Linked DNA regions of Drosophila melanogaster. The protein of the gene in region 1 interacts with the protein of each later gene in a pairwise test. Each region holds a gene or a part of one and is shown in the gene's direction. Other genes may lie near its edges. The genes, in order: Obp18a, CG42597 and Cyp6t3.

The links.
Region 2: the proteins of Obp18a (region 1) and CG42597 interact in a two-hybrid assay, tested with the Drosophila melanogaster proteins (one large-scale study listed by BioGRID).
Region 3: the proteins of Obp18a (region 1) and Cyp6t3 interact in a two-hybrid assay, tested with the Drosophila melanogaster proteins (one large-scale study listed by BioGRID).

What each region holds. Positions count from the first base shown.
Region 1 is NC_004354.4:19,134,494-19,137,800, reverse strand, and holds Obp18a (Odorant-binding protein 18a), read left to right. Parts: upstream 1-1,932; 5' UTR 1,933-1,957; coding exon 1,958-2,008; intron 2,009-2,062; coding exon 2,063-2,398; 3' UTR 2,399-2,720; downstream 2,721-3,307.
Region 2 is NT_033779.5:22,064,062-22,067,001, reverse strand, and holds CG42597 (uncharacterized protein), read left to right. Parts: upstream 1-1,658; 5' UTR 1,659-1,741; intron 1,742-1,805; 5' UTR 1,806-1,808; coding exon 1,809-2,309; 3' UTR 2,310-2,398; downstream 2,399-2,940.
Region 3 is NT_033778.4:12,189,050-12,193,085, forward strand, and holds Cyp6t3 (cytochrome P450 6t3), read left to right. Parts: upstream 1-1,632; 5' UTR 1,633-1,637; coding exon 1,638-2,861; intron 2,862-2,922; coding exon 2,923-3,204; 3' UTR 3,205-3,387; downstream 3,388-4,036. Other genes in the region: Cyp6g2 (cytochrome P450 6g2), read right to left, coding at 42-1,313; CG8858 (uncharacterized protein), read right to left, coding at 3,524-4,036. UniProt on the Drosophila melanogaster protein: May be involved in the metabolism of insect hormones and in the breakdown of synthetic insecticides.

The sequences.
Region 1 (3,307 bases):
CCATATTGGGTTAACAGGGCATAATAGTATATGCTCCGTTTTACAATATTTCTTACAATTTTTCTTATCTATATATATTTTATATTTACTTTATATTTATATATATTTATTATTATATTCTGCTGTTGATGATGCTCATCAGGTGTCAGCTGGGCGTCGCCGGGGGTGGCACGCTGACACTCCCTCGCTGCTGTCTATTTCTTCGCCGCTGAAGACGTCGATGGTCGCTCACAAGTCCCCAGGCAGTGGGGACTCCAGATTCCTTCGCAGCCAGGGGGGCAGGACTTCTTTGGTTTTGTTAATGCTGGTGCTGGTGCTGGACATGCCTGGTATTTTGGAACTTCATTAATTGTGGGTATATTTTTAATATTATCTGAGTGAGTTTTCTCGAGCTTATGGGTCTTTAATTCTTGCTGATATTGCAACAAGTGGTCTAGCTCTGCATGTAGCTTTAGAGCTTTCGACCAAACCGGTGGCGTTTGCTGACCGTATATTAGCCACCTTACGTGGGCTATACGTTTATTCAGCTTAGTTTTCAAACCGCCACGGTGTTTGCCCATACTCAATAGAACTCTACTCACTCAGATTTTTCCTTGGTTTTTGCAGTTCCATTTAATTAGTCCAGTCTTCTTCCAGTCCAGTGTTCCTTTGTTCCTTTGTTTTCACCAGCTTTGGTCAATTCGTCCAGCGTTGGACGACTGTCACGGTCGCCATGTAATGATGAACTCCAATTCAGAACACAAGTCCGTTTTAAGTTGAAGGCAGCCGTCGGGCTGACATATATTTATTCAATTTCTTCTTTTGATTTTAGAGTAGGCAGAAATGGTTCTGTCAGCTCAACGTCTACAGAGTCTCTCTGATTTTACAGTTTTTAATATATTTGGACTTAGGCTAATCCGCGTAGCTGCGCTGCCGGGTACGCCAGCAGCGGAGCGGCGTTCTTATGTATATCTTATATATCTAGGCTTATCGGGAGAGCGAGATATGTATGTACGTATGTAATATGTATTTGGTCGGCGTGTGAATGCTGACCATGCACTTATACTTTTTGCCTTCGAGTGGGTGATCATGTTACATCCGCCCTGGCCTAACTGCGTGCATAAACATAAACATAAACATAGCAACAAAGTGCTGCCATAAGTTAATATGCTATTTTATTTAATTGTTCTTAATATTGCATAGGCACATACTACAGTTTAACATAAGAATACTTTTTTTTTTTGTTGTCAGCTTTAAATGTACGTGTTTTATTGCTAATTTTAATGTTCTAATTACTTTATTTATTCATTGGAAATGGGAATTCGCATAGACGAGCCCATCACGAAAATACTTACCAAAAAAGACAGTAGACTAAGTTTATACTAAAGATAATTAGGGGAAACCGCAAGAAAACAAAGAAAAAAAAAATGCAAAACGATAAACATTGTGGCGGTACAGTGAGCACTGCCTGCGGCCAACCTAAAAACATGACGAAATATTTTTTTTTTTTTTACATCGTGTATAAGATGTGATATTCGCTGCAAATCGCAAAGCGTGAATATAATTTGTATTTATACCTATATTAATGAACCATATAAAATATACGAATAAAGTCCAATACAGTAGATAGGCTACACATATGTTTTTTGTTTAAACTTCAGAGATGCTTGGAGTGTAAAAGCCAAAAATTGTATGTTTTCTATCTTAATAAATATGAAGAAAACCAAGTTGGTAATTTACTATTGGCAATTGTAATGCAGATATTGCGCATACGACATACGTGTAGCTCATAATCGGGAACTGCGCTTAAAATTTCAATTATAGACTTTATTTGTTGGTGTGTGGCGAATGTAAAGTAGCATCCAATTATTTAATTAAAATCTCCTGTCTACTTTTGAGCTGAATTAGCAAATCGATGGGTTATATATATAGAGCTGTGATGATGCGCTCATTGTTAGTTGGGAAACAGATTTTCGCCATGAAGGTTGTGTGCAGCATAGCTGTACTATGGATTTGCTTGATAACTATGGTCAGTTCTTAACGAAATAGTTATGTGTCCATCTAACAATACCATCTATTCTAGTGGCAATCAGCTGGCCGCGTTAACGCAGAGGGTTGCCTAAAGCACCACAATCTGACCAGTGCCCAAGTGCAGGCAGTGGCTCCATCCACTCCCGTTGCGGATGTTCCAGTGGCCGTTAAGTGCTATAGCCGGTGTCTGATCCAGGATTATTTCGGTGATGATGGGAAAATCGATCTGCAGAAGGTGGGAAAGCGAGGATCTCAAGAGGACCACGTGATTTTGTCCCAGTGTAAGCAGCAGTTCGATGGCGTCACCAATCTGGACACGTGCGACTATCCATACCTGATTCTCCAGTGTTATTTTAAGGGCAAGCAGAGTGGAACTATCGCCTCGTAATTTACCAAATAAACAAAAAATAAAGTATACATATATACATTACTACATACATATATGTACACACACATGACAGACACAATGGGCTTCATCACAGTTCATTGTTGAGTCTTCTAATCAGATCAAACGCCCTCTAATGGAAATTACACACGATTGTGCTTAGTATAAGTGTGATTTTCATTATTATTATTTGTATACAGTGATTAATAATTGTATTAGAGCAAAATAGTAGACATGCATTGTTTTAAACTCGTCTGCTTTTTATTGATTTGTTTTATGCAAAGTAACGTAGAACTGGTGGAAATACATAATGCAATAATAAGTCAATCAGAGTCTTTATTTTCCGAAAATTCGCAAGAAACATGGCCAAATAAATAACAGAAAATTTCAGTTTGCTGACCAAATATGTATGTATGCATGTACATATGTACATATATGGGTGGACTGGGAAGCCAAACACAAAATTTTCCCCCTGCTTGAATAATATTTGAAATGGCAGATATGGAAGATGCAATTTGAACATAATTGAAATGCAAATCGCAGACTGTGAACTGCAGAACCGACTTGATGGGGCGGATGTGTGGACGTAATAATGAATCCCAGTCGACCCCACAGGATGCAGGGCAAATTTCAATTTTCCCAGCAAATCATACGTAAAGTTTGGCCAAATACATTTTGGGCCAAGAGGGCCAAAAAGGGCCAGAAGGATGTCAATGCAATCAGTGAGGCATTTGACTTGGCCTTTCATTAACTCGACTCAGCGCAGTCGAGTGCAAAGGACACAGTACATAGTACACAGGACGAAAGACGCAGGACGCAGGACGCAGGACATGGCACACGAACTCCTTGGGCGACATTGCGGCTGCCACAAAAACTTTTTGCTAGCCAATCATCAAGAAAGCCGCCGAGTCA
Region 2 (2,940 bases), on another chromosome or scaffold:
CGCTTACCGTCTACCCGGTAGTCCTTACTGTCCTGATGCAGAGCAATAGTTTCGTAGATGGAGTAGACTTTTCCAACATTTAGCCGCACAAAGGATCCAATCACAGCCTCCGCGAAAATAGGTTTACCCAGTAAGTTCTTTATGTCGTTCCGTTTTAACACTGCTCGACTCAGCTGTTCCAGGTTGGATACGCGTTCATCGCTTTCAACGTTCGTTTGCGGATCGTTTTGGGCTGTATTCTCGCTCTCACTGTTAGGCGAGGAATCGCCGGAATAAGTCTCTTTGACCTCGATATTTACATCCTTACGCGTTTGTGCCTTGCAATCATCACTAGACTTCGTCTGCTCTGCACTGTCTTCGGAACATTTTCCCTTGCTCAATTTAATGGTGCGAATTGCCAATAATCGCTCAAAAGCATGTGCTGTTTTGCCACCAGACTCCAGTTTATTTGCGATCTTACGTCTTGTCCGTAAGCGCTCAACCATTTTTTTATACTTTTACTCTACGAATATCGGGTATAAAAAGTTTAATTGTAAATTCGATGAATTATTCAAAAATGCGAATCATAGGTAGGCCTCAGCAGGAATCATATTTATATGAACTTTTTTTTAATACTAAAACTACCGGATATTCAACTGGCAGTTTTTGTAATATTACAAATATGTTAAATTCTCGCAGCTGTTCAGTGTTCCTCATTCAATTTGCTTCGCTCGACATCGGCAAATATGAGTTTTGATATTGGAATTTTTGGTGGCGGCTGTTCAATAAGCACAAAAAACCGTAATAAGCTAGAATCCACGACAGGTGACTGAGTTAGCAGGAGAAAAAAAATATGCGCACACAAAAGCGAACCATTTTGTGTGGGTCTGGCGAGCAGTACGCGTATTCTTATTTGGCTAAATGACAAAACTTCATCAAAGTGAGCTTACGACTTCCTTGCTTTGATAAAAATTCCAATTTCTTTTTAGTGATGTTGGCTTTTGGCCGGACTTCCATTGGATATCTAATTGGAATTTAAAATGGCGGCACAATTAAATGGTACTGCTATATAAATAATTCTACAGCAATTGTTTGCAAGAAACACTAATTTAAGTAAAATGCAAATGATTTCCGGTATTAGGAGCACGGAGTGGAGCCAGAAGTGGTGCTCCGCATTCGAGGTGAGTGCGTTGGGGATGTATCTTCTGGATATTGCATGAGATTCGTATCCCCTCCACCTAAGTTTTCAATTGCGATTCAGTTTCGTTTCCATGTTGCAACTATAGCAACGACGACGACGTCATACGATTAACGTGAGCTGCATATTTTCGGCTAATTTTCTAATTAAAATGATATTTATGCATTTTTTAGCTGACAGAATTAAACATTCAGTGCCAAAGCCAATTTTTACAGGCAAAGTGAACAATGAAGCACGTACTAACCTCTCGCATAAAGATATTGACATTACATATTACAAAAGATAAGGGAGTAGGTATAATCCGTTTTAAAAGGTAGTGGTAAAGGTAAGGTAGACTTCATAAAAATCAATCAATTTTTTATCTGCTTTAGTCTTCCACGAGTTCAGCTGGTTTTCAACTTTGAAGTCCCTAAAGTTTTCATTTAACTTGCCAACGCAATACAGGAATTATTCTCCGACCCAGCAAGCATTTTAAATTGAAACAAACAAAACAATGTGTTTTGTTTTTTTTACCTTATTCATTCTAAATTTGTGTAACTTATACATATTTACAAGACCGCGCAGGCAAGTCACTTCTAACGTCTATATACAGGCAATACCCGATAGTTAACCAATATCCCTTTCTAAGGAAATGACCAGTCCCACGCCTGTTCTATTGGCCTTCGTTGTGCACATGGTGCTCCACACAACGCTCTTCATACATCTAGATCCGGGTATAATTGCAGACACCCCCGTCTTTGGTAGCCAGTTATTCTATTTATCAGTGATGGATCTGCTGTGCGACACAGAGGTAATACCCACGCACTGGAGTAACATTCCGCGGTGGGGAAAGTTTATCCTTGAGACCATTATCGCCATCCTTATTGGCGAAACTTTGATGGTGGGCGTATGGCTTTCCATGGAAACGCTTCTCGTCAACTTTATAAATGTTATAACCAATTGGTTGGGCCTGGGCAGCCGTACAAACACTAATTTCCAGGAGATCGGCACGATTTTATTGGGAGTTATCTTTTTAGTGATAGTGGGTGCCATTACAAATCGACCGGCCAAAGTTTGGAAAATGGCACAACAGTCTTGGAGAATCATCACACAACAAAGTCGTCCTTCGTCCAAACAGAAATCTTTTAAATAAGCAAAAGGACCCACATCGTTTTCGGTTCCTTCTATTAATTTGGGATACCATTTCTAGTTTATGTGCACTTTTTTATTAAAAGGGTGCTCAAAAAAAAAAAATTGGTTATCTCTAATTTCAAGTACCCATCTCTTTGTTCTTTTAACAGTGAAATAGTCAAATATAGTCTTTGATATCTATGCACCCCAATGCTTAATGAAGCTCGATATTCACAAAAGGATGCGATGCACCTTTGTAAATGTTAGCATACGACCTTTACTTAAGAAGAACAACAGGTTTTTCTAATGTCTCGATTCGAAGCCATAGGGCAATTAAATATGTCACGGGTGGGAGCGGAAACTTGTAAGACATTTAACTGTTTGGGCGCGCTTAAATGGAATCTGAGTGAAATAATTACCGTTGGAGAAAATGATTTCGAACAAATCATGTCTTACGGTTATTATACAAAAGGACATCCGTGATCCCTTAGGCAAGAAAATTCGAGAAACATAAGCTGCAGTTGCGCTAAAGGTGTGGGTGTAATTAGTAACATTTGTGCCACCAAACAATTAACATAGAAAGTGGCTCGAACTCTGTGAAGAACACATGTGCGATTGACTCTCTCTTGGGCCATTATGTAATAAAAAGCGCT
Region 3 (4,036 bases), on another chromosome or scaffold:
GTAGTCGTTGGGTAATGTATGCAAAATGTATCTCAACCCACCTGGGGATCCATGTGCAGGGCATAGCAGGGTATATAAACGGGCATGCCCTTGGGCACCACGAACTTTTTGTGGAACGGAGCCAGCGAGTAATCCCTCCCAGAAGTGCACTCGCGATCCAAAAACGGCAGTGGCGGATACATGCGCAGCACCTCCAGCAGAATCATTTGCATGAACTCCAGTGACTCGATCATCTTCAGCGTCACCTGACCTCCACTTTCGACCAGTGCATCCTTGATCTCCTCCCGCAGGCGCTGCTGTACGTCCGTATCCTTGGCCAACTCGTACATCGCGAACGCCATGGTCGAGGAGGAGGACTCAAAGCCGGCGGTGAAGAAGAGTACCGCCTGGGCGACCAGGATGTCGCCCTCGAACACAAATTGATCCTTGATACCCGATGCCTTCGCCAGCTGCGTGCTCCTACGGAACTCAATGAGAATGTCGATGAGATCGTTGCGCTTCTGTCCGGATTTTTCCCGCTCCGACATCACATAGTTGATGGTCTTGCGCAGAAAACGAGTGGCCTCCGCCGGCACCACCTTGAATCTAACGAACGGGACCAGGTGGGGCAGGAAAAACACTAGAGTGAACTCCGCGGCACGCAGCAGGTTGAACTCGAACACAGAACGTCCATGGCGGCGGAACTCGCACTTCGGATCCGTGAAACTGTTGGCACTCACTCCGTACGCTACCGTGGCTATCACATCCGTGGTGTAGAGAGCACACAGCTCCTTGGCCTCCAAGTCGAAGCAGCGCATCCGCTCGTTGTGCAGCGGCTGCTGGCGGAGATGGGCATCCAAGCTGGCGCCCACCTCCTCGATCAGGGGAAACATCTGCTTCAGTCGATTGCCGGTGAAGAAGGGCGATAGCTTCAAACGTACCTCCTTCCAGGCGGGATTCTTCAGGAAGAATATGTTCTGGGATCCCAAAGGGTCGCCCTTGGGGTCGGAGCTCGAGTACCGGTTGGAGAAGCCAGCGAAGTCCTTGACCAGGATATTTCTCACCATTTCGGGGTCTCTCAAAAGCAGCGCCGGCTTGTGGAACACATGGATGCCCACGAAGGGTTCGTTCTCCGCATCGGGATGGTTATACAATTGCGATATGAACTCCGCGGGACTCATTCGCATGTTGAGCAGTCCCATCAGGTTGCCCACTATCCATTTGGGCCTGATTTCGCGTACTCCCATTCGCCGCCAATAGGAGTAATGCTGCTGCAGCGCCAGAAAGGCAATCCCTATTAGGGATGCCACGAGGATCAGCAGTACCAGTTCCATGCTAACGCCACCAAACCCAATGTCCAACTGGCTGAAATATTGCCAGCACCATAGAGTTAAAGCTTTGGGTAAGCGGAAACTCTACTATGAGATCATCAAGATGATCCTGAGTGCAATGAATGAATCTATTTGTGAATGGAAGTGCTTGTCGAGATGTTAAGTGGGTCAGGTTCAACTTATGCATATGGAAATGCATTTCTTGACGGTCGTGAACAAGGTCTCCTCCTCATTCAAAAGAACGACTTTTTGGATCTTAGCTATCTTTACCTAATGCTGGTATATATTTCATAGTTATAATATTCTATCTTATATCTTATAGACACCATGCTGCTCATCTGGCTGCTGTTGCTCACCATTGTGACTCTGAATTTTTGGTTAAGGCACAAGTACGATTACTTCAGGAGCCGTGGGATTCCGCACCTGCCACCCTCCTCTTGGTCACCAATGGGCAATTTGGGACAACTTCTATTTCTGCGCATTTCTTTTGGCGATCTCTTTCGGCAGCTCTACGCAGATCCACGAAATGGTCAGGCGAAGATCGTTGGCTTCTTCATATTCCAAACGCCGGCGCTTATGGTTCGGGATCCGGAGCTAATCCGCCAGGTGTTGATTAAGAATTTCAACAACTTTCTCAACCGGTTCGAATCGGCGGACGCCGGAGATCCCATGGGTGCACTGACGCTACCGCTGGCTAAGTACCATCACTGGAAGGAGAGTCGGCAATGCATGTCCCAGCTCTTCACCAGCGGCCGTATGCGGGATGTCATGTACAGCCAAATGTTGGATGTGGCCAGCGACTTGGAGCAGTACCTCAACAGGAAGCTGGGGGATCGGCTGGAGCGCGTTCTCCCGTTGGGAAGAATGTGCCAGTTGTACACCACCGACGTGACGGGGAATCTCTTCTACAGCCTGAATGTCGGCGGATTGCGTCGTGGTCGATCCGAGTTGATAACAAAAACCAAGGAGCTATTTAACACCAATCCCCGCAAGGTTTTGGACTTCATGAGTGTATTCTTTCTGCCCAAGTGGACGGGTGTGCTGAAGCCCAAAGTTTTTACCGAAGACTATGCGCGCTATATGAGGCACTTGGTAGATGATCATCACGAGCCCACCAAAGGAGATCTCATCAATCAATTGCAGCACTTTCAGTTGAGCCGCTCATCCAACCACTATTCCCAGCATCCGGACTTTGTTGCTTCGCAGGCGGGTATCATACTGCTGGCCGGATTTGAAACCTCCTCAGCCCTGATGGGATTCACTCTCTATGAGTTGGCCAAGGCTCCGGATATTCAAGAACGACTGAGGAGTGAGCTACGAGAAGCCTTCATCTCCACTGCTACCCTAAGCTATGACACACTGATGACTTTGCCCTATCTCAAAATGGTGTGTTTGGAGGCACTGCGTCTCTATCCGGCTGCTGCTTTCGTCAACAGAGAGTGCACCAGTTCGGCATCCGAGGGATTCTCACTGCAACCGCATGTGGATTTCATAGTGCCACCAGGGATGCCAGCATACATCTCAATACTCGGCCTCCATCGCGATGAAAGGGTTAGATTTAAAACCAAAGGTGATGATTATCCCAACTTACTTATGTCAATCTAAATTCCAGTTTTGGCCGGAGCCCTGCGTCTTTGATCCCGAGAGATTCGGTCCGGAGCGATCTAGGCACATCCACCCGATGACCTACATACCCTTTGGAGCAGGTCCACATGGCTGTATTGGTAGTCGCCTGGGCGTACTCCAATTGAAACTGGGCATAGTGCACATTTTAAAGCAATATTGGGTTGAGACTTGCGAGCGAACAGTATCGGAGATTCGCTTTAATCCAAAGTCCTTCATGTTGGAGTCTGAGAATGAGATATACCTAAGATTCTGCAGGAGTAGTTTGTAGAGTTATAGGCATCCTAAAACAATCGGCTGTGATATGTAATCACCTTTGTTCCTATAATCTAAATAGAATAGATAATCTAAATAGCTCCCTAAAATTTGAACTTAAAACGAAACTGAAAGTATTTATGATAGTATATTTAAGGTTTCCTTACACTCCTGGATCAATGAATCACAATAGAAAATTATCTTCATGCAAGTTACTTATTCATTTTTGCCAAAGTTAGATGTTTTCTTTTAACGCTTACCCCCTTTTATAAAATCTACCCAAGGCAGATTTTTTGGCCACACACACATCCTTGAAATGCTTATATTAATATGACTTAATTCTGTGGATTCAACTTGCTTAGCTTGTCTTCGATGTCCTTGATGCGACACCGGATTTCCGGCGCCGAATCGCGCTGGAACTTTTCCAAATTCGATTCAAAGCTCTGCTTGATCAACCTCAGTGGCTGCTGGTTTCCGTTTCCGCTTCCGCTCAGCCGCTTGATCAGCATAAGAACGATGTTGAGCGCCTCCTTTTTCAAACCGGAATGAGGAACTCCAGCGGCAAGAGCAACTGCAGCCAAAACATCTGTGCATATCTTCTCGACAATGGCCTCTCGGGTTTTTGGCGCCGTCTCCTCTGTCTTGATCTTCTTCTCCTGGTTTATCTGAGTCAAATCCGGCACTTGAGCAGACTCATCAAAGACATGAAGTCTTTCGATGTACTTAGTGAGTGCTGCCAGCAGACTGACTTGCACTGGGCGAGTGCTCTCCGCCAGAATGCTCGTACAGTTTTCGGCAAAGAAGAGTTGGTAGCGGTGCTGCGTCTCGATGGAGTGACGCGGCCAGGA